4 linked regions of the Saccharomyces cerevisiae S288C genome follow. The gene in region 3 interacts genetically with the main gene of each other region. Each region holds a gene or a part of one and is shown on either strand. Other genes may lie near its edges. The genes, in order: SLX1, DLD2, MKS1 and FRE7.

Region 1 (7,140 bases), on a different chromosome or scaffold from region 3:
CCCCTGATACCGAGGGACGAGCCGTTGGAGATCTTTATGTTGATGATGGAGAAACTTTTGGCTACCAAAGAGGTGAGTACGTAGAAACTCAGTTCATTTTCGAAAACAATACCTTAAAAAATGTTCGAAGTCATATTCCCGAGAATTTGACAGGCATTCACCACAATACTTTGAGGAATACCAATATTGAAAAAATCATTATCGCAAAGAATAATTTACAACACAACATAACGTTGAAAGACAGTATTAAAGTCAAAAAAAATGGCGAAGAAAGTTCATTGCCGACTAGATCGTCATATGAGAATGATAATAAGATCACCATTCTTAACCTATCGCTTGACATAACTGAAGATTGGGAAGTTATTTTTTGAGGGAAAAAAACGAAGTGATATCTTTACATCTTTTTAGCTCTTTCTTACAAAGTAAACGTAAAAATATCCGTAAATATAACATATAACCATTATCTATAGAAAAAAAAGAACCGAAAATTGTGTCAGGCCCTACTTCCCGTGAGCTAACTTCATTCTTGTCGAAAACTTGACTAGGGTCGTCCAGTCGCAAAACATATCACATTTCGGACATTTCCCACCTCGAGGTATCAAATTTCTTCTCCCTACCATCAACTGTTCATCATCTAGAAAGTACCTGTGAAGACATTTCAAGTGGTTAACACACCCACAGTCTTTATTATTGCAAAGCGCTACAAACGGCTTCAGATTTTGCTCTTCAGACGTGTAGTCAATTTCTTTCTCACAAATTTCACATCGCACTACCCCTGTAGTTAGTTTCTTTTCGAAAGTTTCGAATATGTTTCTTTCATTTTCAATGACTTTAGTGTATACAGCTTCCACCACTTTTAAATTCTCATCACTATGATCCATGAGAACATCCACAGTTTTCTCCTTTGGTTCTTCAAGCGCATTTTCATTTATTTGTATATTAATCGGAAATCTGTCTCTTTCAATAAAAAATTTGTCCTGTTTCCAAACCTCCCAAGCCTTTATATTAAAAACCTCGACTATCAAGTTCATCCTTTGAAAAAATTCATGCTTTAAAAGTAACTTCATTAATGCAACTTTGTGATGTAAAGTTCTTCCACCTGCTTTATGCTTTACAACACGATCTTTTTCGGCAATATAATGCGTTTGGTACCCATGTTGCCATGCATGTTCAAACTGTAAAGCTGCTATCTTACTTGGGAAGCCCCGCACAATCATTATCATTTCCCAGGGCCTTGAACCGTCACGTTTGGTTCGATATGCCCCTCCAACAGCCAATTTCCCATTATGCTGCCTCAAACGTCGTACTGGGTTAGGAGTTGATCCAACGTAAAATGATTGCCTCTTGTTAATCGATTGTAGTAGATAACAACAATAAAAATCAGGAAACTGATGCTGCTGTATTTTCTGCGACATGGTACCTTTCTTATCTTTTTAATATTTTTTGAAAAAAGAGAACATTAATTTGACAATATTTTTTCGATGATAGAAGGGAATAAGTCATCAGTGGTATATATTAAAATTAAAAAGAAAAGCAAACGGCTCATCAAACAAAACCATAGAAGACAAGGCACTCTAATTACATTTCACACTCATGTTGAAATCTGCAAGCCAAAACTTTTTTAGAGCTTATTCTAGTAGAATTGGTCGATATGCTGCTACAGCATCAGGGAAACTGGCACAGTCTCGTTTATCGAATATACCCACTCCAAAAGCATTGAAGAAATTCCTCGATGAGTACATTGTTGGTCAAGAGATTGGTAAGAAGGTTTTAAGCGTGGCAGTTTATAATCACTATTTAAGAATCAATGACAAGCAAAAGAAAGGGGAATTACAAAGGCAGAGAGAATTGATGGAACGAGAGAAAATCGCGGATGATAGGGATGAACCAATTTTCAGTGGAAACAGCGAATCAAAGGCTGGTTGGAGGAATCTTCAAAGACAGTTTAATTTAGCAGGTAGAGAGGTTGACGAAGATTTAGAGTTAAGCAAAAGTAATGTCCTTGTCGTTGGTCCCTCAGGTTCTGGTAAGACTTTGTTGGCAACAACATTGGCGAAAATATTAAACGTTCCAATTGCAATTACAGATTGTACACAATTGACTCAAGCAGGTTACATAGGTGAAGATGTTGAAGTATGCATTGAAAGATTGCTCGTAAATGCTGAATTTGATGTTGCGAGAGCAGAAAAAGGTATTATTGTTCTTGATGAGATTGATAAACTAGCCAAGCCTGCCGCAAGCATTGGCACTAAAGACGTGTCCGGAGAAGGGGTTCAACAGTCATTATTGAAAATCATTGAGGGCCATAAAGTGGAAATTACCGTTAAAAGGCCTGTTAAGCATGATATTGACGGACAAAAAAATCAAACTACAACAAAGAAGGACGAAGTATTTGTTGTAGACACTTCAAATATTCTTTTCATGATTATGGGAGCTTTTGTTGGTTTAGATAAGCATATTGTTAAAAGGATAGAAGATATGAAGAAAATACAGAAGGCAGGAGAGTCTGTTGAATCATCGAATAGTAAAGAAGTTGAAAAAGAAAGAGCGAAGAAGTTCAGATTTAGCAATACGCTTGAGCAGGTTGAATTAGATAACGGAAAAAAAGTGTGTGCTTTAGACTTGACCACCCCCACAGATTTAGTTAGCTTTGGTCTAATTCCTGAATTAATTGGCAGAGTCCCAATTATAACTGCTCTGCAGCCTCTACAAAGAGACGATTTATTTCATATATTAAAAGAACCTAAAAATGCCTTATTGGATCAATATGAATATATTTTTAAGCAATTTGGGGTAAGATTGTGTGTTACACAAAAGGCGCTAAAGAAAGTTGCTCAATTTGCTCTCAAGGAAGGAACTGGCGCCAGAGGGTTGAGAGGGATAATGGAAAGACTTCTGCTAAACGTTAATTATGATTGCCCGGGTTCTAACATAGCATACGTTTTAATCGACGAAGCTACTGTCGACTCGTTACAGGAAACAGAGCACTCTTTGGCTTCCCAAGTGGACGTAAAATACTATTCTGGTGATGAAAAGGACAGTTTAATTCGTGACGTTTCTGAAGAAGATAAAAAATTAGGAGTTATGCTAGAAAAAGAGTTGGGTCATTCTGCTAACATTCATACCCCAACAATTCCCAAGAGAAGCTTAACATAAAAAAAAATGAATGGTATAGAATATATAAATATAGATGTAATAAATGTAGTAAATGAACAAATAATCTTCCTACAAAGTACTATGCCATGGGAAGTAAAAAAAATTAATAAATATTGGCTAAAGTGTTTCAAATTGGTTCTACGATACTGGGAGACTACTCCTTATCATAATGCTTTTTGTCCAGTAGTAAAAATTGAAGTAATTCTTGAACAATTTAAAAAAAAATTGGAACGGCGGCACAATTATTTGGTATATGGCAGCTTTGGCTTTTGCGCCACCACATACAAAGTTCTAAAGCAGCCAGCGTTGTCATCGATTTTTCCTATGTGTTCTTCCACATATCTTTTGAAAAGAGTGGTGGGGTCGGTATCCTTTGGAGGACAACTACTATCTGGTAGTTGCCTCCTTAACATGTAGTCCCACATATCTAAAGAATTAAATTCATTCAAAAAGCCCATATCTGTTTTGAAGTCACCAGTTTTCAAACTTAGGACCGAGGACTTGATGCCTGTAAACCCTACATCCTTGAATGTCCTCGTTAAGTGTTTTGTAGGATGGATATGTAAGCCTTTATTTATCGCATCAATAGCCATAGCATCAAATGTCTTGTCCCGTTCTTTTGTAGTCAAAAACTCTTCTGATGAATTATTTGCTTTTTCGGCATCGGCGTTGCCAAGAATTCCAGTATAGTATGTGTTTGAAATCCTTAAATCTGGAACAATTGCCAGCGCGTACCCGCCAGGAATTATTGATCTGTATATTTCCCTAAGTAGAGCTTTCCATTTATAATAACTTAAACTTGTCCAGACCCACGGGCATATTACAGCAGGTATAGTGTCTGATGCAAACGGCAGTCTTAATTTTAAATATTCTTTACCATAAATAGCTGCGCTTTTTGCCCTGTCAAGTCCTTCATTTGGAAAGGAGTTATCCGAATTAGAGGATATTGGTGATGACAAAGGTGGTTCATCTTCAGGCTGAAGTTGTGCATTAGAGGACCTCTTCACTTCCTTTGGCAAAATAAATTGGGTCGGTAAATCGATTTCTTTGTAGTTGTTCAAAGTCCGGCAAAAAAAATTCTCCAACCATTCATTTTGATGTGCTTGGTTGGCTGATTTGACATGGGGAGCTTTCTCTGTCCGAGGGGGACTAGAGATATGTGACTGTGGTTGAATTTTTGGAGAAGAAGAAGAAGATATGCTAGGTGAAACTGAAGGGCTTGTAGTATGTGAAGTTGATGCAAGTTGAGAATGCTTTCTCTTGAAAAAGTTGACGAAACCAGATTTTTTAGTAGCCTTGGTAGGGCTCTTCTTCCTTTTGACAGCATCTGCTCCCGAGGACGGCAATGATAAAGATCTACTTGAAGCGAATTGGTCGTTTAGAGGGTCTTCCTCAACTCCCTGATTGAAGTTGTTTCTAGAAATACGTTCTTTTGCATCATCTGTAAAGAACTTTCTATTCATGCAATCATACATATACTCTGAAGCATTGGAAGAATTCAATTCGATAACTTCTTGTTCGTCAGAAACTATTTTCGCTCTTGAACCCTTTCGTGGCAAATAATTTTGTAAGTTTGTTAAATACTCAGGAGCAATTTCACTAGCATTCTTATTCTGAGCGTCATTGTCACTGCTGTCAATCATCCAGGGAGATAAATCTAATGCGAAATCTGCGATGTTCAAGCTTGGTTCATCATACGCCAGCTGCCAACCGCCCAGGGTTTTATGCAGCGGTCTTATTAATAAGATGTCAATTTCGTCTAATGGATCCGATATTACTGGCCTTGGAGAGTTTGCTTCTATATCTAACTGCTGAATATATAATGTAGGGTCACTGATCTTGTTGCTGGTGGTGCTGATTGTTGGATTAGAATGTTGTCTTGTGGTTGGTTTTCTTTTTATTAGTTCCTCCACTACTTCAGATGAAAAGAAGAATGAATTTGATTGCAGTAAAAATTTTTGAGATTGAGCCAACCATAATTGAATCAAGGATTCAATTTCAGAATAATCTTTTAACGGGTCAAACGATGGAAAGCATTTAACCTCAGTCTCTATATTTATGATGTTTTCAATGTTAAATGGATAACATTCAAATGCATATTTCCTAGATTCCAAATATTTTGTTAGGAAATCAATGTACGACCGTAATCTTTTCTTGGCAAATATTAAAGAGTCTTCTGGCGAGGAGTCCATGTTAAAAGATAGAAACAAGTCCATTCTATTAAAGAGCTCATTATGATTCGGGTCGTACATTATTTGTTTGAATTCACCGTCTATGCAAATGTTGATTAAATTATGATTTCCTGAAACGGTTTTGATTAGAAGAGAAGAATCTGATGCCGGTAAAGTGTTCCAGTCCCATTTTTTTCTAGAATGGAGTTTCTTGACAACGTTCGAAGTTGCACCGTGTAGACCACCACCTCCCCGGCCATTGCCGACCATATTGGATACAATGAATCGCGGTGCAGAAGGGTCTGGTGAGTAATTAGCTTTCACTTCGGAAGTCGGAGTTCCGCTTCTATGACTATGTTTATTATTACTTGTATGATGATGATGTAGACCTATTTTGGAAAGCTGAGCGGACTTCAGTTTGGATACTGAGGATGAGGCAGCGGAGTCAGATGATCGTCTTGACGAGTTTGAGAACAAGTCATCCGCCAGTCTAAAGTTTGGCAAATGTAAGGGCGAATCAAAGGACGAGAGCTTATCTGAATGATGGCTTACTTGTGGTGAGTGTGATTCTACTGAACTACTTGATTGCGTGGTTCCATTTCTACTCTCTTTTTCTTGTTTCCCCTTTTCTTTGTCAGCATTTTTATGTTCAGTAATCATTGAACTTGTATGGTTATCATGTGCTTTTAAGTTGGAAATTTTGTTACTGGTTATACTGGTTAACCCCCTATCATTCTTACTATCAATGTTTTTTGCTTCCTTATTGGAGCCCATTGTATTTACTTGAGCAGTTTATAAAAAGTGGATAAATGAGGGGAAAAATAATAAAAAAGAAAATTGAACAATCCTTCAATATGTGTCCTTTAATAATTACTACTACTTTACACACTTCTCCAGTAGCTGCTGCTTGTTTCAGGTGATGTGAACAACGTGTTTCAGCGTTCTTGGTAAGTGTTGGTATGGATCCCTTCTGATGTATTTTCGGCGGCCGCACTAAACTGCGAAAATGGTAATTTAATAAAGGGCTTATAAAGAGGAAAATAATGCAGAGAAACGGTGAGCCCAGACAAGAATGATGATAATGTGTTTTCAACCGATCATTAATGTCACGAGAAACAAATTTCAATGGAACTAAGAGGAAGAGGTCGGATGTTGCCGAGAAAGTAGCACAACGGTGGAAGAGCGTCAGGTATAGTGCTGAAATGGAGAATATGGCTCCGGTCAACAGTAACAATGATAGCGACGACTGCGTCATAGTCAGTGAATCGAAAATCATTGATTTGACTAATCAGGAACAAGATTTGAGTGAGAGAATAGAAACAAACGATACGGCAAAAGGTGCCGTTTTTAAACTAATGAAATCGGACTTCTATGAAAGAGAGGATTTTATGGGAGAAGTAGAGGATATGATTACATTGAAAGATATCTTTGGCACTGAGACACTAAAAAGAAGCATACTCTTCAGTTTCCAATACGAACTTGATTTCTTGTTGAGACAATTCCACCAGAACGTAGAGAACATAACCATCGTCGGCCAAAAGGGTACTATTATGCCTATCGAAGCCCGTGCTATGGACGCGACACTGGCAGTAATATTAAAAAAGGTCAAACTTATTGAAATAACGATGCCCCCATTCGCTTCCCACCATACGAAGCTGATCATAAACTTTTACGATAATGGCGAATGCAAAATATTCTTGCCATCTAACAATTTTACGTCAATGGAGACTAACCTGCCTCAACAGGTGTGTTGGTGCAGTCCCCTTTTGAAAATAGGTAAAGAAGGGCTACCAGTACCGTTTAAGAGAAGCTT
Region 2 (7,784 bases), on a different chromosome or scaffold from region 3:
CCCAATGCCTGCTTGAATTGAGCTGTCTCATCATCTATCACTTGGCCATCCACCTTCATTTGACTTTCTGCCCACTCTTCTTCATTAGTTCCATTTTCAGAGCCATTTTTGTTCGATAATGAATCGATTTTAATTATTGGTTCATCATAGTACCGAGGTCGGAATGCACTCAACGTGACGAAATGATCGATGCACACAATGTCCATCTTTTTGTAATTATCTGTTAGAAAAGAAGTCATTGTTTCATCACTTTCATCTGTAGTGTTATCATCTTCATTCACCCCATCATTTCCATTTCTATGAGAAATCTTTTCAACAATTTCAAAATCTACCATAAATGTATTCCTTCTTAATCCTCGGATAAAAGAATCTAATTCCCACTTCGTTGAACAGGGTACATCCATTCTTTCTCTAAAAGCGTCTCTAGTTAAGGCTTGAAAAGATTCTCTCCTTCTTCGACTCAGCGGTCTCGGTTCGCTGCTAGCAGTACTGAATGAAGAATTTCGGCGACTACTTCCCAGCATATCTTGAGTGTGGAATAACTCATATATGTCATCTTTAGCGTGACCTTGACGCTGTTTCCAGACGATTCCTGAATCCAGCATTCCTGTTCCAGAATATTTTACAATATCATCCCAAATGGTTGAATTTATAATATCCGTATCGAATGTAAACTTGTTACTAATCCAGCTGAACAAAGAACCAAATCCATTTTGTTGCGCTACGTTGTCCCACGAAAGTATCTCACCGCATGTATCTCCCTGTATACTGTTCTTTAGGCTGATAAAGGTGCTTAAAAATGTAACATAAGTCAATGGTAAAATTATTTTCCTTATAAATAGTGGTGATCGTGGCGATACTGTCATGAAACAAAACCGGTCTAATGGATTTATATGGAATGTGGAAATACCTCGTTCTATATGTAAATACATCGAAGGCCTATATATGGGCAGGCCTTGATACATATTGCAAAACGAAGATACCACGGGTGACGATCTTAAATGGGATGGTTCTATAGGCAAAAGGAAGTAGCAGATATGCTTAGAGCATGACCTTCCAGTGTACCGCGTACTACCTTCAAATAATTTTTCTTCTTCTGAAGAATGTGTTGTATTATTATCGTGATGTACTTTGAAAAAGCAATCTGGAAACATGGGGTTGTACATGTTCTTATACTGAATGTAATCAGTGGGAAGGTTCATTACAAAGACATATATTCGACCGGAGCACATACAACAATATAATAAACCTTGACTATATTCAAGACCAGCGATCATATAGTCACTAAAAAAATTGGATTCGAAATCTTCCGGAGTACATCTAAGGATATAAGAGGGCGCTAATCGCAGGCCATTTTTTATCTTGTATTGATAGTTGCTTATGATTTCAATGAATCCGTTGGATTTAGCCAGCACCATGTAATCACATGAGTCCAAAATATGCGTTGCGTCTGGAGATATTGACGTGTCTCTACCATTAGGCCTTAAATAACAAAACGCTTGTATATTTGCATTCACATCTACTTTTGTACAACCTCTTTCTGATGGGACCAGTGCTAATCGATCGTTTTTAAATTCAAATAACCTATAACCAGACGGTTTACCCTTAGTATTGCAGGGAGTAGAAACAGCAAATTGAATCCTGCCAGTAGCCATCGATAACAAAATGTTCAGATTATGTGGAAAGACGCTTTCTGCGTGTATTTAACAACTCAAAGTAAAACCTATCTTAACCTGGTTTTGTTCTATTAGATGCCATTCAACTATGGGGAAGGTATATTTGGATGTTTGTTAGCAATTTTCAGGAAGGCAAGTACTTAATACCGATCAGCTTACTATTGTTTTTGACCTTAGAGCTCTTTTCAACAAAGCTTCGCATTGTGAAAAGCAGACCCAAAACGGCAACTGAGAAAATACGGCACTGTGGAAATAAGTCATGCATCAATCATCAGCTGTAAAAAACCTTTAGAAAAGACATTATACAGATTCTTAGATAGGTATTGATGTTTGGTATTACTATTTTTTGGAGAAATGAGTAAGAATGTTGGTAAGCTAGTGAAAATATGGAATGAATCAGAAGTTTTAGTTGATAGAAAATCGAAATTTCAAGCAAGATGTTGCCCATTACAAAATCAAAAGGATATACCCTCCATACTCCAAGAACTAACGCAAAACAACAAAAGCGTCTCCAAGGCATCCCACATGCACATGTATGCCTGGAGAACGGCCGAGGTATCAAATAATTTGCACTTACAACAAGAGCAGAAAAAGAAGGGCAATAAAGCAAATAAGAGTAATAATAGTCATGTTAACAAGTCAAGGAACATAACGGTGCAGCCAAAGAACATTGAGCAAGGATGTGCTGACTGTGGCGAAGCTGGTGCTGGACAGCGTTTATTGACCTTACTTGAAAGAGCAAACATATTCAACGTCTTGGTAATAGTGACCAGATGGTATGGTGGCACGCCTTTGGGCTCATCAAGATTCAGACACATTTCAACATGTGCAGTGGAAACCTTAAAGAAGGGTGGATTTCTTCCTTAAATATCACCCTTACCATATAATATACACAATTGTAGAATATAATATTGATAAATATATACATATGTAGATAACTATAAAACTTGGCATTTTATTTTCAAATGTATTTGTAAGGGTTTAAAATTCCATTAGGATCATAATGAACCTTCAAATCCTTCATCATCTTGACCTCTTCCGGGCTCTTAGAATAGCCAATGTAATTTTTCTTTTGGAAACCTAGCCCATGTTCGGCACTAACGGAACCATGTTTTGAGGAAACAAACTCGTAGACAAATGGTTCCAAAGTCTTTTCAATGTTCTTGTTGTACTCTCTAACTGCAACATTTAAGTGTAGATTACCATCACCCACGTGACCGTATCCAATGGCGCCCACCACTGGTTTGGGCGAATCACCCACTAATTCAGCTTCAGAAAGTCTTGCATTAGTGGCTTCAACCAAAGAATATAGGTCCTTTAGTGGTAAAGAAACATCGTATTTGTAAACACCACCATTAGCTTGACTTGCCTCTGGAATCATTTCTCTCCACTTCCACAAGTTTTGGAGTTCGGTTTCATCTTGTGCCACTACACCATCCGTTACTATGCCCTCTTCCATGACGTTTTCTAAAAATGTTTCAAGTTTGGAATCATCGTGATCTTTGTTTGACCCTGACGTTTCGATAAGAATATAAAATGGATGCTCATCCTCCAAAGGGAAGGCAGCATCCTTCAATTGGCTCTTGGCCAATACTTGAGATTTAGCATCCATAAATTCAAAAGCGGATAAAATCTCAGATAATTCTTGCCTGGCTCTGACGAAGACTTTTTGAACGTCTTCAAAACTTTCAACAGACAAGTAAGATACATTAAACGCTTTTGGCTTAGGAACAGTCAAGATTGAAACACCAGTGATGATACCGATAGTACCTTCTGAGCCAATGAACAGCTGTTTCAGATCATAACCGGTGTTGTCTTTTCTCATGGAATGCATGCTATTAACAATTTGACCATTGGGCATTACCACCTCTAAGCCTAAAACGCTTCCATGTAGTGAGCCATAACGCAATAACCTTAGTCCTCCAGCGTTGGTTGCAACCACGCCACCAACATGGCAGGAACCTTTAGCTCCCAGATCCAACGGAAACATATAATTTTGTTCCATTACGTAATTGTTAGCATTTTCCAAGATTACACCAGCATCACACTTCAAGATACCTGATACAGGGTCAAAATCTCTTATTTTGTTTAAATTTGCTAAAGATAGAATTAATTCATCAAAAATGGGCACAGAACCACCTACCAACCCCGTGTTACCGCCTTGTGGGACAACGGCAATTTTTTCATCATTACAATAATTTAAGATTAAAGAAACTTTTTCCACTGACTTAGGTCTCAATACTAACTTGGACTGTCCTTTGTACTTTCTCATCCAATCTTCATTATAAAATGAAAGATCCTCTGATTCGCTGGCTCTTAATATTTCTTGTTCCGATAAAATAGATTTAAAATAATTTAGATCATCGGACGTTAATTTTTTGAATCTAGGGTCTCGATGCACGTCTGGATAGTTTTCGCTAGTCAGTCTGGTTTGTATCTTGGTCGAATAATAGTTAACTCTTCTATAGTATCCTAAAAGAGCTGATGATTTCATATATCTGCCAGCAAATTTGAAATTGCTGCCAGTACTTCTCACCAAAATGTTTCTTAGCATCTTGTTATATGCCACTTGTAGTGCTGGATTAATGTCTGTAAAATAAAGAGAAGAAGTTGTCAATGCATTTATTACCACTTTTTCAGAGTCAGATAGATTTTGAATTATATAACCTGTCAAAATGAAAAAAACTCGGCCGATATTCCTCGAGAAACAAGACGAATGCCAAGAGTATTCATTATTAGATATTTGTTTATGTAGTATGGTGTTTTTTTAGTAGCCTAGAAACGATGGTTATTCATATTGTACAAAGTTAAGACAACTAAAGAACGGAAAAGAATATTTATAGAGCTTGTAAAAGGCGAGTAACTTAGAATTATTGCTTGAAAAACGATGACCAGCCCCTCCTTGTAAAATTTAACCGTTGGTGAATTGTGGGCTTATGCGACATTACTGGTGAACTTCCCATTGTTACATCAATATGGTTTACTGAGTGTATGTTTTCCTCTGCCCTGAAATTATTACAGATATCGTTATTATTCCTTAACGGCACATGATTTTTTTTGTTGAAGTTGTCAGATTCCACCAACGGTAGGGACGGTTGGTATTTTGCCAGTAGAGAAGACCTTGAGTCTGTTGTCGAAACTGTTGCCATGGATGTCAGTGAAGGAACCGATATAGCAGAAGAAGTTCTAGAATGCGAAACCGGTCTTCTATGATTTATATATTCTTTCAGTTGGCCGGGACTTGGTGCATTGAACAACAGCATTTCTTGTCTCCTTTGTAAAAATAGTTGTTCCTTGATAGGCCCGAGGAAGTAAGAAAGAGAATCAATCAAATCCGGTGTAGTTATCCTCACATCCCAATTTAAATATTCTAATAGTTCTCGTTCGATGGTATTCACCTCACGTATTCTGAGTAAACCTTCTGTGTACGTGGTCCAGTGTTTGTTCCAGGGAGAAGAATCGTTCAGAGTTTTGGCAGCTAATATCAAGCATCCGAGAAATATCCGATGTCTTGTGGTGTTAATACCGTACACATTTTTTGGTATTACGCTTTTCAGTTTGTTTAAATAAACTGATGTGGCCATTAAAGTTGGTGTTTGAACATTTGACTGAATTACCACGTTTTTAATGAAGATAGATAAGTCTGGTGGGCGACATCCTTGGATTGGATTATTATTTTCCCTGATTTTAATTATGGAAGCAGTAGAAGTGGCTAAGAACTGAATCATTTCTTGCGAAACAGGTTTTTTGTTGAATTGCAAAAGAGCATCGTAGTCAGAAATCATCTCTTTGTGCGTATTTCTTCAGAATTAATAATGCTGTTACCGAAACAAGTTTTCTTGTCCTTTCTTTGCGTATATCCACTTAAATATATGTTATTAGAGATCTATGAATGTCGATGCACTCTTCTACTGACCGCAAGCTGCCCAAATGCTTAAATACAGAAGCAAAGAGACACATATTTACCACGTTGCATGAATGTCCAAACTCACTGCACCGTTAAACAGAATTATAATAAGCAAGGCTTGACTACTTGTCCCTTGTAAGATTATCTACTTGAGCTGGTTTTTTTTTAGTGCAGCAATAAAAAAAAAAATTAGTGACGCTGGTTTCCGCGCAGCGCTAATTTAAGAATTTTCAATATTGCCAACAAATTTTATCTTGGCAGTTATGAATGGAGGCCAAATTGTAGCATACAGTGTGAGCTCCATATTGCCAACAAATTTTATCTTGGCAGTTATGAATGGAGGCCAAATTGTAGCATACAGTGTGAGCTCCATATTGAATGATGCATGATCTATTTTCTTTTGGACAAATTTCTACCTTGCATAACCTTTGATTGATGAACCACTGATGTAGTTAAACTTTTAAAGTAGGGTTAAAATGTCCCTTTAATATATTTTTATAATTACTTACAGATTGTTGTTCTTATGTAAATTTTATTATTAAGCTCCACCTCCCCTAAAGTAAAATGGATAACATAAAGATTTTTCAAGATATGAACACCCTAATATGTGCACGGTCGTTACTTATATGCTATATATAAACTGTTGAAAGTATTCCCGTTACAAAAACAAGAAGACTCCAAGAAACCATTACTCCAAGTACAAAAGAATCATTTCTTGCCAAAGCCCTCCAATTTTTGACTAGCTTCTTGCAGAATCTTAGTAAAGCGGAGTCGTTGGTCATATCATCATCATCCCCATTTAAACTACCATAATATAACGTCGTATTACCTAACAACTGGCCTGAATTCATCCCGAAGTGACCCGGGCTGCTATTTATTACATCAGGACTATCCATCGAAATGTAATTAGCACTCAGTGGATGTTGGTACTCTTGATTTGTAGCTACTCTCTTACTGATAGTATTTTCGTCGTCGTCCTCAAACTCCCCCTGTGAATTATTAAACCAATCGTCTAGCTCTCTTCTTAAATATATCGAAGTGTTGATGAGGAAGTTTAGAGATATGAAAGGAATTATTACGCATAAGATGAAATTTGAAATGGTTCTTGAGCCGAAGTAGTTCACCACGGGAGTAAATAATCCTTCATGGCCGCGAACATAGACGAAATACATCGACAGAATCAATGATTCCCCAATTGTCAACATGATATTACTACCAACTACCAATATCATTAACAATAAACCGGTGACCAACTGGTATGCCGTGCTAAATGCAATAAATCTCTTTATCGGTGTGAAGCTTTTAGTAGTATTTTGTGTATTTTCATTAGGAACTGCCCATGTATAACCAAAAGATTTCTTCAAAATGGGCTGTTCTTCGTCTATGGGGAAACTCAAATCACCCGTATCTAGAGTTGTCAACTTTAATGAATTGTCGATGGGGTTCATCATGATAATTGTATCGTCCTGCGAATTATCTGGTACATGCAGCTGCTTCTTATTTTCATGAGGTTGCTGTCGTATGCTGCCATAAGTTGATGACGATGAACGTAGAGGTTTGATTGGATGGTACTCAGACGAGTATACGTTATTCGATATGGAAGATGAGTCATTTCTTACTTCAATACATTTGGACAACGTAATATCACTTCTGTCTACGACGTTGGGGCGATATTCTGTACTACAACCGCAGTCATCGTTATGGCTCATATCATTATTGTTACAGTAAGTGTTGGCGCTTTCCTGGTGTGTGAAGCCACTATTAATGTTTGGATCGGCGATTTCTTGGTAGTTAAACAAATTCCCTATTATGCATATGGTGAATTCACCCAGGGCCCATGATATACCAAAGATATAGGCTTGTCTTGGAATGATGTGCCAAGAACATTCCTTATGCTTGATCGTACCGCCTTCGTGATCTTGCACCTGAGGGTACGCTAAACCAATCAGTATCAAAAGCATAAAGACGTCGTTGATAGGAAAATCCACTATCAGGTTCAATATTAAAAACCTTTGATTTATATTGAATAGAAAGGTCTTCAGGAAATAATAAAGAAATGGTGAAAAAAGCCCCAAAAGAAAGGTCCTGAAATAGTCCTGCGAATTTGGTTTGAACATCAATGGATCATCATACTGGTGTAGCAGTAATTCGGACGACGCATAGAATAGTGAAAACAGTGAAATACTAAACAGCGCAGAAAG
Region 3 (8,102 bases):
CGATGCTTCGCACTTGAGGAACCGTAACATAAGCAAAGCGGACCAGGTTGAAAGCACTGAAGTGATGGAACAGTTTACGCAATGGTCGAATTATAAGATGAGGTCTCGCTCTCCTACCATAAACGCAAAGCCAATTCGACACACTTCACAACGAAGAACAGACTTTACCAGCAAAAATGAACTCTCCAAGTTCAGCAAGAATCATAATTTCATTTTTCACAAAGGGTTTTTGAAGAGGCAACACTCCATACGCAGGGAAGACAGGCAAGCAAAGGTACGGTCAAGATTCAGGAGCAAGAAGGAGCTGACATCCGTTTTGAACTATATAGAACTGGAACAAATGGATATTGCAAATGTCCTGGCTTCGCAACCGGTAAACTTACACGCTATCAGAAATCTCACTAGCAGGGACCCTGCGGTAACTCCTATCCCATTTTTAAGAAGCCAGATGTATGCAACCAGTAGTCGTCCACCGTATCTAAGGAACCGCTCCATAAGTAGGAAACTACCCAAATCACAACCAGGTAGTCTCCCGACGACTATGCCTGCGACGGCGACGAAAACAATTAAACAGAATTCAACGACCCCAACCACAAGATCTGTTTATAACAAGAATGTGGGGCGGTCCAATACTTCCCCTAGTGTGTTGTACCACCCAAAAAGAAGAGGAAAATTGAACACCAAATCGCATGCAAGAAAGGAGCAACTGCTGTTGGAACTGTGGAGAGAATACTTAATGCTGGTTATAACACAGAGGACGCAACTGCGCCTGACTTTGCTTTGCTCTCCGGGTTCAGCATCGAATGAAAGCTCTGTCTGCTCTTCTAACGCCAGCGACTTAGACATGTCCCTTTTATCTACTCCTTCAAGTCTCTTCCAGATGGCAGGTGAGACCAAAAGCAATCCTATAATTATACCCGACAGTCAAGACGATAGTATACTTAGTAGCGACCCCTTTTAAGTAGGTAACCCCCCCTGGATTGCATAGCCATTGCATAGCCTTAGACATCAAACTTTATTTAATCACATTATCCTTCTATGTATCTTTTTCCCCCGCTCGATTTCTTCTAGAACATTACGGAAAATAAAGGAAAAAAATGACTGGAGCATCGAATCTGTAGACTAAAAAGGTAATGACGCGTTCTTCGTTCCCACAAGTATGTGAAATCGTTTGAACGCTTTTATATACTGATAGGAATAGATTATAATAGTATTCAACATTCATCAAACAGTTTATATCGGTAATAAACCAACCTCACGATACAGTGATTATTTCTCTAAACAACACGAGCCGTACTGTACCTACGATAAAGTAAAACACATTTTTCTTTTGCTACCAGTGGACACAAGATAACGGAGAATGCAACAAAACACGTCTTTATATGACTCTTTGAACGTTACTGCCGCTGCATCCACATCTGAGATTAAGAAAGCTTACAGGAACGCTGCATTAAAATATCATCCTGATAAAAACAATCATACAGAAGAATCCAAGCGAAAGTTTCAAGAGATATGCCAGGCATACGAAATACTTAAAGACAATCGTTTAAGAGCTTTGTATGACCAGTACGGTACCACAGATGAAGTCCTGATTCAAGAGCAGCAGGCGCAGGCGCAACGCCAACAAGCCGGGCCGTTCAGTTCATCCTCAAATTTCGATACGGAAGCAATGTCATTCCCGGATCTATCTCCAGGTGATCTTTTCGCGCAGTTTTTTAATAGTTCTGCTACCCCCTCTTCTAATGGCTCCAAAAGCAGTTTTAATTTTAGCTTCAATAATAGCTCTACGCCGAGCTTCTCCTTTGTTAATGGCAGTGGCGTGAACAATCTGTACTCCTCGTCAGCAAAATACAACTCCAACGATGAGGACCATCATTTGGATAGAGGCCCTGATATCAAACATAATCTAAAGTGCACATTGAAGGAACTCTACATGGGTAAGACTGCAAAGTTGGGTTTGAATAGGACAAGGATTTGCAGTGTTTGTGATGGGCACGGTGGTCTAAAGAAATGCACTTGTAAAACATGCAAAGGGCAAGGTATTCAAACCCAAACTAGGCGTATGGGACCTCTAGTACAAAGTTGGTCTCAAACTTGTGCAGATTGCGGGGGTGCCGGGGTTTTTGTCAAAAATAAAGATATTTGCCAACAGTGCCAAGGTCTTGGCTTCATTAAGGAGAGGAAGATTCTACAAGTCACCGTTCAACCGGGATCGTGTCATAACCAACTTATAGTACTTACGGGCGAAGGTGACGAAGTTATTAGTACTAAGGGAGGCGGTCACGAAAAGGTAATACCTGGTGACGTCGTTATCACCATTTTACGTTTAAAAGATCCGAATTTCCAGGTTATCAACTACTCCAATTTGATATGTAAGAAGTGCAAAATCGACTTCATGACCAGTTTATGTGGAGGCGTAGTTTATATTGAAGGGCACCCTAGCGGTAAGTTGATCAAACTTGATATTATACCTGGCGAGATACTGAAGCCTGGTTGTTTCAAGACTGTTGAGGACATGGGGATGCCCAAGTTTATCAACGGTGTTCGGAGCGGTTTCGGTCATCTATATGTCAAATTCGATGTGACGTATCCAGAGAGACTGGAACCTGAAAATGCTAAGAAAATACAAAATATTCTGGCTAATGATAAATACATTAAAGCAGAACGTTCCACCATGGAAACCGCAGATTCAGACTGCTATTGCGATTTGGAGAAGTCATATGACAGTGTGGAAGAGCATGTGTTAAGTAGCTTTGAGGCCCCTAATTTAAACAATGAAGTTATTGAAGACGACGACCTTGGTGATTTGATTAATGAAAGAGATTCTCGGAAAAGGAACAACCGTCGATTCGACGAAAGTAATATTAATAATAATAATGAAACGAAACGAAATAAATATTCTTCACCGGTAAGCGGTTTTTATGACCATGATATTAATGGATATTGAAGGTTATATAGTCATGCAGTAATGTTATACATTTTCTATTTTTATTTTTTGTATCAGTACTCTATCTATAAGGACATTCCTTTTTTTAAGCAATGCGGAAAGATACGCTATTCTTCCTGTGGATGGTTTACCGCGGTTTGGGTGGTAATATCATTGCAGCCCTAGTCCTTTAGCAGTTTTTTTAGCGTGTAATACATTGTTATTCATCTTTTTCTTAGTGCCTGCCAAGAGATCGTGGGAGGTTACTTAACAGAAAAGCAAAAAAAAAAACCGATTAGAATGTGCATGCCGTTGTTACAGAGAAGCAAGGGAAGTTCACCACTGATCATATTTCTAAGTTCATCAAAATATCGTTTTGGTTTCAGCAGTAGGGATCTTTAACCCAAGTGTTCATTTTCTTTCCTTTTTGCTTTTTATTTGAATGATCTGAACAAAAGGAGAAACATATACTGTACTATTGCGTGAAAACGAACAGAGCACAACCCTCAAGAAAAAAGAGAACTACCCCTTAGTTCCATCTCATTTACTTAAGCAACACTTCCTAATTATTCTCTAATCCTAATAAAAAAAAAGAACTGATGTCGCGGGAGGCATTTGATGTACCGAATATAGGTACTAACAAGTTTTTAAAAGTCACACCTAATTTATTTACCCCAGAGCGATTGAATTTATTTGATGATGTCGAACTATATCTTACGTTAATAAAAGCATCCAAATGTGTCGAGCAGGGAGAAAGGCTGCACAATATAAGTTGGAGAATTCTGAATAAAGCTGTTCTAAAGGAGCATAATATTAATCGATCTAAAAAAAGAGACGGCGTGAAGAACATATATTATGTGTTAAATCCAAACAACAAACAGCCAATAAAGCCAAAGCAGGCAGCAGTAAAGCAGCCACCATTACAAAAGGCCAATTTGCCTCCCACAACGGCAAAACAGAACGTTTTAACTCGGCCAATGACATCACCAGCTATCGCACAGGGTGCTCACGATAGATCCTTGGATAATCCTAATTCTACAAACAATGATGTGAAAAATGACGTTGCTCCAAACAGACAATTCTCCAAATCTACTACGTCAGGGTTGTTTTCAAATTTTGCAGACAAATATCAAAAAATGAAAAATGTGAACCATGTTGCTAATAAGGAAGAACCACAAACTATTATCACTGGTTTTGATACAAGCACTGTTATAACCAAGAAACCTTTACAATCAAGACGCTCAAGATCACCTTTCCAGCATATAGGAGACATGAACATGAACTGCATTGATAATGAGACTTCCAAGAGTACCAGTCCTACTCTTGAAAATATGGGAAGTAGAAAATCCTCTTTTCCTCAGAAGGAATCTTTATTCGGAAGGCCAAGGTCTTACAAGAATGACCAAAATGGTCAACTGTCACTTTCGAAAACATCCTCTAGAAAAGGAAAAAACAAGATATTTTTCAGCAGTGAAGATGAAGATTCCGATTGGGACAGCGTTTCGAATGATTCAGAATTCTACGCTGATGAAGATGATGAAGAGTACGATGATTATAATGAGGAAGAAGCAGATCAGTACTATAGAAGACAATGGGACAAGCTTTTATTTGCCAAAAATCAACAGAATCTTGACTCAACGAAATCATCTGTTTCATCAGCGAACACAATCAACTCAAACACATCCCATGATCCCGTACGAAAAAGTTTACTCAGTGGACTATTCCTTAGTGAGGCAAATAGCAACAGTAATAACCACAATACTGCACATAGTGAATACGCTTCTAAACACGTTTCGCCGACTCCTCAGTCCTCTCATAGTAATATCGGTCCTCAACCGCAGCAAAATCCACCGAGCGCTAATGGTATAAAACAACAAAAACCTTCTTTGAAAACAAGCAACGTGACAGCTCTAGCATCGCTATCTCCCCCGCAACCATCCAACAATGAGCGGTTATCGATGGATATACAAAAGGACTTCAAAACTGATAATGAGTCCAATCATTTATATGAATCTAATGCTCCGCTAACTGCTCAAACTATACTGCCCACCGCCTTATCTACTCACATGTTTTTGCCAAATAACATTCACCAACAACGAATGGCGATTGCCACTGGTAGTAATACGCGACATCGTTTTTCGAGGCGGCAGTCGATGGATATCCCATCCAAGAACAGGAATACTGGGTTTTTGAAGACCAGAATGGAGATCTCTGAGGAAGAAAAGATGGTACGTACAATATCACGGCTTGACAATACGAGTATTGCAAACAGTAATGGAAATGGTAATGATGACACCTCTAATCAGAGAACGGAAGCACTGGGGCGTAAGACGAGTAATGGAGGGCGAATATGATTACTAAGTTAAATAAATCAGATACAGTATTTAAAGTTCTTTCAAAAAAAGATAATGTCATATATTTTACTATCTACGCAGTGAAAGAGTTCCTTCTAATGACACACTATTCACTTCGGGTAACGGATATTGTGTACTGAAAAATATAAAAAATTTTATCCCGGAAATGCGATGAGATGAAAATGCATGAAGTAGCGTATATATTGATTGCATGAGGTTGGACTTGAAAGGGCATATATACTCGGTTTTATCATTGATTCAAGTGTTCCCATAAATAATAAAACAGTTAAATCGAAATGCTAAGAAGACAAGCCCGTGAAAGGAGAGAATATCTATACAGAAAAGCGCAAGAATTACAAGATTCTCAACTGCAACAAAAACGTCAAATAATTAAACAAGCGCTAGCTCAGGGGAAGCCATTGCCAAAGGAACTAGCAGAAGATGAGAGTTTACAAAAGGATTTCAGATATGACCAAAGTTTAAAGGAGAGCGAAGAAGCAGATGATCTACAGGTTGATGATGAATATGCTGCCACAAGTGGTATAATGGATCCAAGAATCATCGTCACAACATCTCGTGACCCAAGCACTCGTCTCTCGCAATTTGCCAAAGAAATTAAACTGCTATTTCCAAATGCTGTCAGGCTGAACAGAGGTAATTATGTGATGCCAAATCTAGTGGATGCTTGTAAAAAATCCGGTACTACAGATTTGGTGGTATTACATGAACATAGAGGTGTTCCAACTTCTTTGACCATATCACATTTTCCACATGGACCCACTGCACAGTTTAGTTTACACAATGTTGTTATGAGACATGATATTATAAATGCTGGTAACCAAAGCGAAGTGAATCCACATCTAATATTTGATAACTTTACTACCGCTTTAGGGAAAAGAGTAGTCTGTATTTTAAAGCACTTGTTCAATGCGGGGCCCAAAAAAGATTCCGAAAGAGTAATCACTTTTGCGAATAGGGGTGATTTCATTAGCGTTAGACAGCATGTATATGTGAGAACAAGAGAGGGAGTAGAGATTGCCGAAGTTGGTCCTAGATTTGAGATGAGGTTGTTTGAACTGAGGTTGGGAACTTTAGAAAATAAGGACGCTGATGTTGAGTGGCAGTTGAGAAGATTCATAAGGACTGCCAATAAAAAAGACTATTTGTGAATTTTTTTATAGATTTGTAAAGGTTAAAATAGAAGGCCGATGAGGCCTTATGTAAGTCTAATATGGTATTCTTAAAAAAAAAAAAAAAAAAAAAGCGTCTTAGAGGGAATATAAGAGAAAAGAAGAGATAGCATAACACATGATTTATTTTTATTTTTGCGTTTTTTTTTTTTCTTAATTGTTTATCAATGTATCTGTGAGAGTATCTACATAAAAAAAATAACCATATGAAGACATAAATTTAAAAGAACAAAACGAACGAAGGGAAGAGGTGCAGAAAGGAAATTTATGTATCACAACTATTAAATTCAGTTGAAAATCCACCATTTGAAACTTTTTTCTTAAGCACTTCACTGACTTTTTCAACTCTTAACTCATGTTCGGAGGATAACGTATTAGAAGAAGACACGTAAGAAGGATCTGTTGATAAAGGCATGGGCTTGCCTATTGCTGTATATGACGAAGATGTCGATAAAGGCGTCTGGGTTGCTAATTCGGGATTACTTGCCAAGTTTGCACTTGAACGCAAAGACGAACTTAACGGAAAGGAAGGATCTAGCATGTCCATGGTTAAATCTTCTTCTTCGCTGTCACTTGATTCTATTTGGAACTTGGGATTCTTGTGCATGTTTGCAACAGGGTCAACGTTTGATAAAATGGATTGTCTTTGAAATAGTATCGAAGATGACCGGTTTTTTGGGGATTTTGCATTGTTATTAGCATTATTTGAATATTGTCTCGCAGATTGCTGCGGAGATACATAAGGCGAAGTAGCTGGTAATTCTGTAGTTTTGATGAAGGGGTTGGAAAATGTCGTTGTTGCTGACGATGAAGAATAGGCTTGTGGTGGGGACCTCTTGAGGATGAAAGGGCATGAGTACGCTTGGGATTTCATAGGTGGTCTAGATGTAGGCGTATTATTGGCCTGTGCAAGTTTTTCATCATTCAACATATCGACGTAAGAGTAGAATCTTAGTATTCTGGAGTTTGGTTCGCCATTTGAAGTTGTGGTGGTCATCCCGGTGTTATTGATGTTATTCAAGGTGGGACGTGTAGCCGCAGAATGCGAATGAGATCTCGAAAGTTTAAGATCTGGCGATGCTGGCGAAGATTCTGATGAGGGAAGAGTGGCACTATTCGTTCTAGCCAACAGGGCCATGTTTAGGCTCACAGCAGAGGAAGGTCTTCTTGAATAAACCATATCGACATCGCTCAGGTCAGTGTTCTCATCGTTCACTATTGAGCAACTAGCATCTAAAGCTGGAGCCACCGAGTTTTCTAACGTACGACGGCGATGGTGATGATTTTGCATGTTGCAAATGGGGTTCAAGATGTACTCTTGATGTGCTAGCGAGCTTGTGGTGGAGTTCGACGCCGACCTAGACGTTGGTATGACGTTATCTAGCGGAGAGGAAACATTATTGGAGTTCTTCCTCAACGATGGAGTTCTAACCTCGCTACCAGAGATAGGTATCGGAGAAATGGTCTGCAAGTTGTAAAAACTATTAGATCTTGAGCTATGAGATGTGTTGGAGGCGGAAACCGGAGGTTGAAGAAATAAATCGTTTGAACTTGCCTCTTGCACGGTTCTTTCGAAGATAAAAGAAGGGTTGCTGTTGTTCGAATTTGACTTGTACACGCACATACCGTCTT
Region 4 (8,264 bases), on a different chromosome or scaffold from region 3:
TGCTATAAAATATTGGAGATTATTTTGTTACGAATTCTTTCTAGTTTTGAAAGGAAACTATAGCGTACAACAATGTATTTGTAGAACCTACATGCAAACATAATATAATAATGATAATATTTATTGTACCTAAAATCGCAAATATGACATAGTTCACGCGGTAATTTTTTTTCGCGTTCTTGATTAGAAGTCAAAGTAATCGCTGGCATTTAAAAATGAAGAGGTTAATGATATGAAATAGGGTGTGAATATGGTGTATGTATTATACTGGATATGTTCTGTTATTGGTGAGAAACCCCAGAAGTGGCACACCGAGAGCATGGATATATTTGGAAGAAACAAGCTGCAGAACAAGTAATGTTGCAGGAAGTGCAAAAGAGGGCGAGAAAAGCTGATAATGTTTATATTGTCAACTTTCTCACTGAGGTTTTCATCCTTACAAAAACACTCTTCTAGCGGTTTTAATCACGTTACCGTTTATTTCGGCTGCTCATTCTTATCTGGTCCGAGGAAATGATTATCAAACAAGGATGGAAATTTTGTACTTTTGTTCGTTTGCCCGCCCTTTACCCTCAAGGCTGTAAGATGGTTAGCCAAGAAATGCGTTGTATTGTCTTCTAGATGAACAAAAGAATTAAAGTGCATAACTATTACATATTTACCCGCTAATAATCAAATATTTACATGGTTTTGCCGAAATGCTTGAATGATATTTCACATGGTGGATGCCATCTGTTTCCTACTAGTAGCCAAAACTCTCGCTGTGTAAATAGCACTCTTCGACATTTTTGTTAGAAAAAACCTTGGCCTGTAAACCTGCCACGGAATTTCCGACGGTATACCTTAGGCTGTCAGAACCTGAACAAATGAAGCAGTTCCTGAACCCAATTTGGTAATCATTAATGACCTGATTCAAATCAGGTTTGGAAGGAATAATGGTGATGAGACCTTTATATTCGTTATTGGATTTGTCGAAAGTTGAATTTGACTCAGTATCATCCTGGCCGAATTCGGTATCTTTTTCTCTTTTAGCTAAATCAGATTGGTCACTGGCGGTGTCTATTGTTTGAGGGAAAGTTTTAATAATACCAGGGACGGTACTGTCCGAGCAGACGTAAATTCTAACCACAATTTTCCCATCTAAAAATAACTGGCGCAAATTATTTGAGAGGGTACACATTTCATCTCTAATCCATGATATATCCTCCCTATGTCTTACCACCCAGTCCAATGTAATAACTTCTAAGTTTGTCTTATGGAGTATGGGGCCATATTTTTGCAGGAAAGGTAAGCATGTAGATATACCTGAACCAGAGCAAATCAAGTAGACATTGGTAAAACTTCTAATATCTCTCTCGATTCCACCATAAGGCCCATCAATAAGAATTTTCTTCATGTCGTCATTACTTTCGTATAGCCTTTTAGAAAACCCTTTCTGGGCTCTAATCAGCATTTTTATTCCTCCGGGATACTTTGCACTCGGAAAGATAGAAAATGGATGGTTGGAAATGATGCCCTTATCAATAGTTCTCACGAATATGTGTTGACCTGGGGAATAGGCCATTTCCACATCTTTGACGATCAATTCTACGCATCCTTCGCCGACTATGCTGACATTTGCAATGGTCGAGGCCATGAAACTTCTACCAGGTCTTAAATAACCCTTCACAGCTAGTCTGTAAAACAGTTGTGCAAACCAAACCACAATTGTAGCAACCAGATACATATGGGAATTCAATTCGGGATATACATGATAGAACAAACTAATGTAAAATCCAACAGCTAAAATCCAATGAAGTTGCAAAAAAATCTCATAAAAATGTCTTCTAGCAATAGGCAGCGAAGATAACCATAGCAGATTCAAAAATAAGATGGGTGGGACACCACTCCTCCACATGTCGGATGCCTTCCACCGTTGATGCATTCTTTCATATCCTCCCTCATGTCGTGCTTGACGTAGGAAGGGAATGACATGAACCCAGCTAAAGAATAAACAAAGAATGGATGCCCATTGGTGGTATATGTTGATTTTTTCATACGAAAGCCCAACCAACCAACCTATAACGTTGATCTTCCCGGAAAGTGAGAATACAAACGGAACCAAAGATATTGCCATTATGCCTGCACGAACAGACAAAGGCGGCGAACCAAATCCTGCACAAGGTCTGTAGAATGGATGAGGAACAAAGCAGTATAGAAGTGTGTATAAAGTGGTAGCCATTACTACTAAAAAAGTACCCACAGATGTCGGAATACCTAAATAAGAAAATATCAACGTGGGAAATTTCCTGTAGCAAATGTATCTGTTGAATGCGACAAGTTTCGTCATTATTCGAGCAAGGAATACAGAAGGGGTAGTCGGCGAGTTCTTCTTTTCTGGAAGAAATTCCTCACTGGAATCATAATACATAAATGCCAGCTTTTTTATCAAAGACAAAAAAATTATCACAGCGACAAAGTAAGTGACGAATTTTCCGTATTGTTTTTGGTACACCCATGGTGTCGCTGCCTGCGATTCTTTTTTTAACCTGGCGTATAGTTCGGAGTGGATGTCAGCAATACAATGGATACCATTGCTTAAAACCAAATCTCTTTCTTCAATCATTTTATTATTTATCGATGTATATAAATAAACTTTGAAATAAAAATTTGAAATATCCCTTTACTTGCAATAAAAAACTTTTAGTATTGGTAATAAAGGCATGGTTTATATGATCTTGAGAACAAACGAGTGCATAATGAAGAAGTACTTCAGAGATTTTAAGAAGTGAATTTGCGCAAATGCTCACGTATTAATGCGCAGTTATACATCCTGCTTAACTAAGAAATATGCGCGGTACATCCAGATGCGAGCACTATAATTTGACACTTTTCCAAATATAATAAGCTTGGCAAACGGGCATTTCGGCTGCGTTACTTGAAACGTATATCGACTTTTTCAATTTGCGCAGACGAGGATTTTCAACCGCATTTTCTGAAAATAGTGAGCACATAGTATGACAGAAGGAGGTTATTTCAAACATGTCTTGTTTAATGGCGGTCACTTATATGTGGAAAAAATATCCTCCTTGTTCATTGGCCATCCAAATACAGGCGTATGCTCTTGTAATAACATACTGTAGTTGCCTAATAAACTTGAGGGATCTTCTATTGGTCAGAGATGTTCAGTAAGTCGTGGCGTATAGATCCCCTTTGCAGTTTAAGATACTTTCGTATTATCTGTTATCTTCATTTTGTGTCTAAAACCATTAATAAATGACCAGGAAATGCGCTACTGTCACTATAGGTATTTCAGGATGTCATTGGCTGTATCCAGATAAATTCAGAGAATATCAATCACTCCCTATGTTGGCGTTCTTGTAAAGTAAGAGTCACAAAATAGGATGCTATCAAAATAAAAACTTCAAAAGATGATGCATGGATGTACAGACATAGTCAGAAACCATAATGTAGTTTTATCATAGTTCAATTGGTCAAACACTGCTGCGGCTGTCATTACGCTGGTGGCATGATGAAACTTTTGTTATGAACAACTCTCCAGGTCCTTGTTGTCTCTGTATTTGGCACTGAGAGCGCGTCCACTTGAGGTAAGACACTGGAGCAAAAGAGTATAGTATTCTATAGAACAAATAAATGGGTGATGGGCTGATGTTACTTATAGAAAACTCAATTTCGTTATTATATGGATAATTACCGTGGGAATATATGGGCAGTCTCAGGCATTTTTAGCCGGGGAGTATTCCTCTAGGCATCCCTCTGCTATCCTGTGATTGTGGAAAAGCGTTTTTCAAAGACATATATTGAAGTCTACATAGCATTAAGTGAGCAGCGTTAATCGTTTGCAATGTTCTCATATACATGTCATTATTATTTGTAGTGGCATCTTTGGTTGTAAATATCCCAGCGTTGTGCAGGAATATTCAAACGACATTTTCCTGAAGTTGTATAGACCAACTCAAAATAACTATAGCTGCTTTAATATATTTTAGCAGGTTAACTCAAACATCTGCAAAGTAGCATAAACTATCACGTTGAAGATAGCATAGATAAGAAGTTCATACTTTCGTCGTTACTGTTCAAGAGACAATTGATTAGTATTGCACCTAAATATGTGGTACGGTAAGACCTGGGGTGTTAGTGAATGCATAACCGTCAGTCCATCTGCAAATAGCAGTAAGGATTGGCTTTAAGAAATTCGTTGGTTCCTATTAACGTGGCGTAAAACAATGATATAGTATGGGGGAAGTTGATTGACACGACATGATTGCATTAGGCACGTACCCGATTCTTTGAAAATTATGTCCTTTAATAAGTCGGATCTATATATAAGATTATCAGATGACTATTTTCTGCGGCTGCAACTTTGAGTTCGGTAAAATTAATCACTTGATTACTAAATAGCATGTATATAACATGGTCGAAAATTTGACTCAGGGTCGGTGAAATAAAAGTCAATGAGAGCATTTAGAATAAATTAACATTATGGTAAAGCGGACTTTTCTCTCTGTTCTTTTTCTTAATCTTGCATATGCACTACAGGTCGGGCTTTAAATGAGGGTGCTCTAAAGCCTTGGTCGAAGGAGTGCATATTTCGGATTCTTTTTCATTTCATGGTCTCTGGAGAAAAATCCTCGACAATATATATTTTCTAAGGGGTGCTTAAAAAGGGGAACATAGAAGATATACAAGCAACTACATTAAAACCCTATTCTTAATTATGTATTCGTAGTAGTATACCATAACGGCTTATACTCTGTCATTCCTCCCATATACTAAAACGCTTATATGACAGAGACTCATCACGCTCCGCTTCCGGATGTGTATCCTTCTTCTAAGCAGCCAACCTCCTCTACCTATTCTAAGTGTAAAAAATTTGGTCTGCCATTAATTGGTTTATTGACGTTGCTCTTAGCTTATATCAGCAGCTTTACCAAACCCGTCCCAAATTCCACTTTTGACGTTCCTGCCTCTCCACAATGTAAAAAGCCTCAAGTATATCGTCCATCGTTTAACAAGTCTGTGAATTTGATTCTGAACGATAAGCAATTCAAAATAGACTCAATAAGAAAGTTGTCTGGTGCCATTCAAATTCCTACAGAAATTAGTGACACAAACCCGCTTCCAAACGATGACCCAGAGTACTATTCAGAATTCTTCAAACTTCACAAATATTTCTAAGAGACTTTTCCTCTTGTTCACTCTCATCTAAAGGTGGAAAAAGTCAACCAATTGGGTCTATTATATACATGGGAAGGTACAGATCCGAGTTTGAAACCAATATTATTTATGGCACATCAAGATGTGGTGCCAGTTAACAGGGAAATATGGGATTCTTGGCAGTATCCACCATTGTCGGGTCACTATGATCAAGAAACGGACTATGTTTGGGGTCGCGGCTCCAATGATTGTAAGAACTTAATGCTCGCTGAGTTAGAGGGTATAGAACAACTGCTTGCCGATGGTTATCAGACTGAAAGGACCGTTATATTATCTCTGGGCTTTGATGAGGAGTCAAGCGGTTTTATGGGCGCTAAAGTCTTGGCACCATTTCTGTTGGAAAGGTATGGCCCGGATAGCATGTTTTCCATTATTGATGAAGGTGCTGGACTCCTAAGACTGGATAAAAACCTTTACATTGCAGCTGCTGTAAATGCTGAGAAGGGTTACGTTGACGTAAGGATTAGTATCCATGGTCATGGTGGTCATTCATCCGTACAACCTGACCATACTACCATTGGTGTTGCATCAGAATTGATATATATGATGGAAAATCACCCATTCGATTATAATTTCTCACTTGATAACCCCATTTATGATGTATTACAATGTGCTGCCGAGCATTCAGGTTTTCTGCCACCACATGTCAGGGAGGCAATCTTAAAAGCACCTGTGGATGAAGGGAAAAGGAAGGTTTTGACGGAATTTGCTGCATCGCACCCTGACATTCGTGACCTAATAAGAACAACTAGAGCAGTCGATGTCATTAATGGCGGTGTCAAGGCTAATGCATTGCCAGGATTGACCAGCTTTATTGTTAACCATAGAGTGGATATTCATTCATCTGTGAACGAAACTGTGTAAAATGATTTGTATTGGGCCAGAGTTATTGCTGAAAAGCACGGGTATGGTTTGACATTCCATGACGAGATTATCATCCCGGAAACAAAACTTGGCCACATTTCTTTAGCAAGTGAAAAAATGTTAGAACCAGCACCAGTATCGCCAACTTCAGGACATGTCTGGGAGATTTTTGCAGGTACTGTTCAAAACTTGTTTCAAAACGAAATTTTGGCTGAGCAGAAAGATGCAGATGTCTACGTTACGGGTGGCTTGTTTTCTGGTAATACCGATACCAAGTATTACTGGGGATTAAGCAAAAACATCTATAGATTTGTTGCAGGTATCTTTCCATTTGACCAACTAAGGACAATACATTCTGTTAATGAACATATTTCAGCATCTTCACACGTTTCAGCAGTAGCATTTGTCTATGAATATATTGTGAATGTCAACGAGTATGGCCATGATTAATGGGCGAATTTTTTTATATAATGGTAGACCAGTGTATATGTTGAACGCGTCTTGGCCAAACGGTCTATTGATATTAAAACTCCTATAACGTTTCAGTCAAAGTCTAGTATTTTTGAAATTAGAACTTTACTCAACGGCCAACAATTGCAAAGAATATTAATAATTTAACATACCGAAGAAGGGAAATGTAGGTAAAATGGGATACTTATTATGGAAAAACTTGTTCTTTTCTTGTCATATCTATATTGAAGATTATGCTGTAGTATTACGCGTCTGGAATTACGGTTTAATAGATATAGTATATCAGTTTGTTCGTACCGAAATGTGTGAGAGTTCCTGCCCTCTTTTTATTTTAAAATGGTTACTCTGTGCCAATGATGCCCGTTCATATTAATTTGAGACCATTGCTAATAGAATATTATCTTTATTTCATAATAGTGTTTGGCGACACTAACATGGGTAATTATAATAATCTTTTCTATAAGTGACCAATTGAAATATTGTTCACTGACTGACAAATCTAAAATTTTTTGCCCTGTTCACCAATATTTTATGTGTCTTTCTTTCGCATATTAACAGAAAATCACTGAAGTATATTTTAGCGTAATCCTGTCTTTTTGCCCATGAAGGTCCTATTAGTTTTTTATGTTGAAGGTCTCTTTATTATTTATTCTATCTGAACATATGAGTATTCCTAATTTGCGCATTATACCCGAAATCTATTACCACAGATTCTGTTCAGCCGCACTGGCATTACAACTTTTTCTGGTGTTCTATCAGTTGCATTGGCCTATTAAAGGGTTATGTTATTCTCAAGTTTTTTAATAAAACCAAGACGATCATTGATTTCTTTACTATTTATTGCCATGAAATTCAAAAGAGGAAATGTAGGTGCGTAGGCGAAAAACTTGGTAGAAGAAAACGTTCGGTAAGAATAAATTATCATTAATTTAATTGATAAAAGACATATTTATGTTTCATTTTGTAGTTAATCCTTTTTTTGTTCTTTTCAGGAACACAGTTCCTTCATTATATATGATGAATTCTATAATTTTGCGCGGATTTTGAAAAGTTCGATGCGCAATATAGGCCTCTAAATATAAATATAATAATAACACAATTATGATAAACTTGTCATTAAATTGTTTCAGACTATTGTAAAATTGAGAAGAAGAATGCTATTGTTTGATTCATTACTCGACACGTATACAATGCACTGAGATACTTATATTGTGCTCAATTTTTTGCAGTTTACGAAAAATAATGAGCAGTACATTCTCGTCAAAGTTTGCAATCATATAAAAAATACCATCTAATTCAATGAAAAAGAATAGCTCCAATTTATTTTAAAAACATAAACGAACTAATATTTACGGTATAGAAAACATATTCTGTGGAAGTAATGATGTGGTTATTACAAGTTACCTAGACAGCCACCAGGTATAACAGAAGCACTGTAAACGTCAGCGAGATAGTAAAGATAGTTGTCGGTGTTTCTAACTGCGTAAGTAGCATTGTTCTGGGTGTAGTCCACAACTTCTTCAAGAGTTTCCGCGTACTCGCCAACATATCCATCCATACTCATGGTAGGGACGTGCAAGTAACGATGTAACATATCAATACCTGCATAATGTTTTGGACCGACATCGACAATAGTACCTTCGAAACAAATTGTTGATAGTGGCTTTTTGGAAGTGTAGAAGTAATCACAAATAACAGTTTCAGCTGGAGCA

Evidence for each region.
Region 1: mutations in MKS1 (region 3) and SLX1 together harm fitness more than expected from each alone (negative genetic interaction), as found in Saccharomyces cerevisiae (2 studies listed by BioGRID).
Region 2: mutations in MKS1 (region 3) and DLD2 together harm fitness more than expected from each alone (negative genetic interaction), as found in Saccharomyces cerevisiae (2 studies listed by BioGRID).
Region 4: mutations in MKS1 (region 3) and FRE7 together harm fitness more than expected from each alone (negative genetic interaction), as found in Saccharomyces cerevisiae (2 studies listed by BioGRID).

The regions. Positions count from the first base shown.
Region 1 is NC_001134.8:669,588-676,727, reverse strand, and holds SLX1 (endonuclease), read right to left. Parts: upstream 1,416-7,140; coding exon 501-1,415; downstream 1-500. Other genes in the region: glucan 1,3-alpha-glucosidase ROT2, read left to right, coding at 1-371; MCX1 (Mcx1p), read left to right, coding at 1,594-3,156; YBR225W (uncharacterized protein), read right to left, coding at 3,399-6,101; TDP1 (tyrosyl-DNA phosphodiesterase 1), read left to right, coding at 6,431-7,140. UniProt on the Saccharomyces cerevisiae protein: Catalytic subunit of the SLX1-SLX4 structure-specific endonuclease that resolves DNA secondary structures generated during DNA repair and recombination.
Region 2 is NC_001136.10:135,968-143,751, reverse strand, and holds DLD2 (D-lactate dehydrogenase), read right to left. Parts: upstream 4,231-7,784; coding exon 2,638-4,230; downstream 1-2,637. Other genes in the region: GID12 (Gid12p), read right to left, coding at 1-1,655; YDL177C (uncharacterized protein), read left to right, coding at 2,031-2,543; PCL9 (Pcl9p), read right to left, coding at 4,547-5,461; AIT1 (Ait1p), read right to left, coding at 6,213-7,784.
Region 3 is NC_001146.8:480,031-488,132, forward strand, and holds MKS1 (Mks1p), read left to right. Parts: upstream 1-3,525; coding exon 3,526-5,280; downstream 5,281-8,102. Other genes in the region: NIS1 (Nis1p), read left to right, coding at 1-961; APJ1 (Apj1p), read left to right, coding at 1,361-2,947; snoRNA-binding rRNA-processing protein IMP4, read left to right, coding at 5,577-6,449; MLF3 (Mlf3p), read right to left, coding at 6,736-8,094. UniProt on the Saccharomyces cerevisiae protein: Negative regulator of Ras-cAMP pathway. Involved in transcriptional regulation of galactose-inducible genes.
Region 4 is NC_001147.6:35,089-43,352, reverse strand, and holds FRE7 (putative ferric-chelate reductase), read right to left. Parts: upstream 2,606-8,264; coding exon 743-2,605; downstream 1-742. Other genes in the region: ZPS1 (Zps1p), read right to left, coding at 7,946-8,264. UniProt on the Saccharomyces cerevisiae protein: Cell surface metalloreductase. May be involved in copper homeostasis.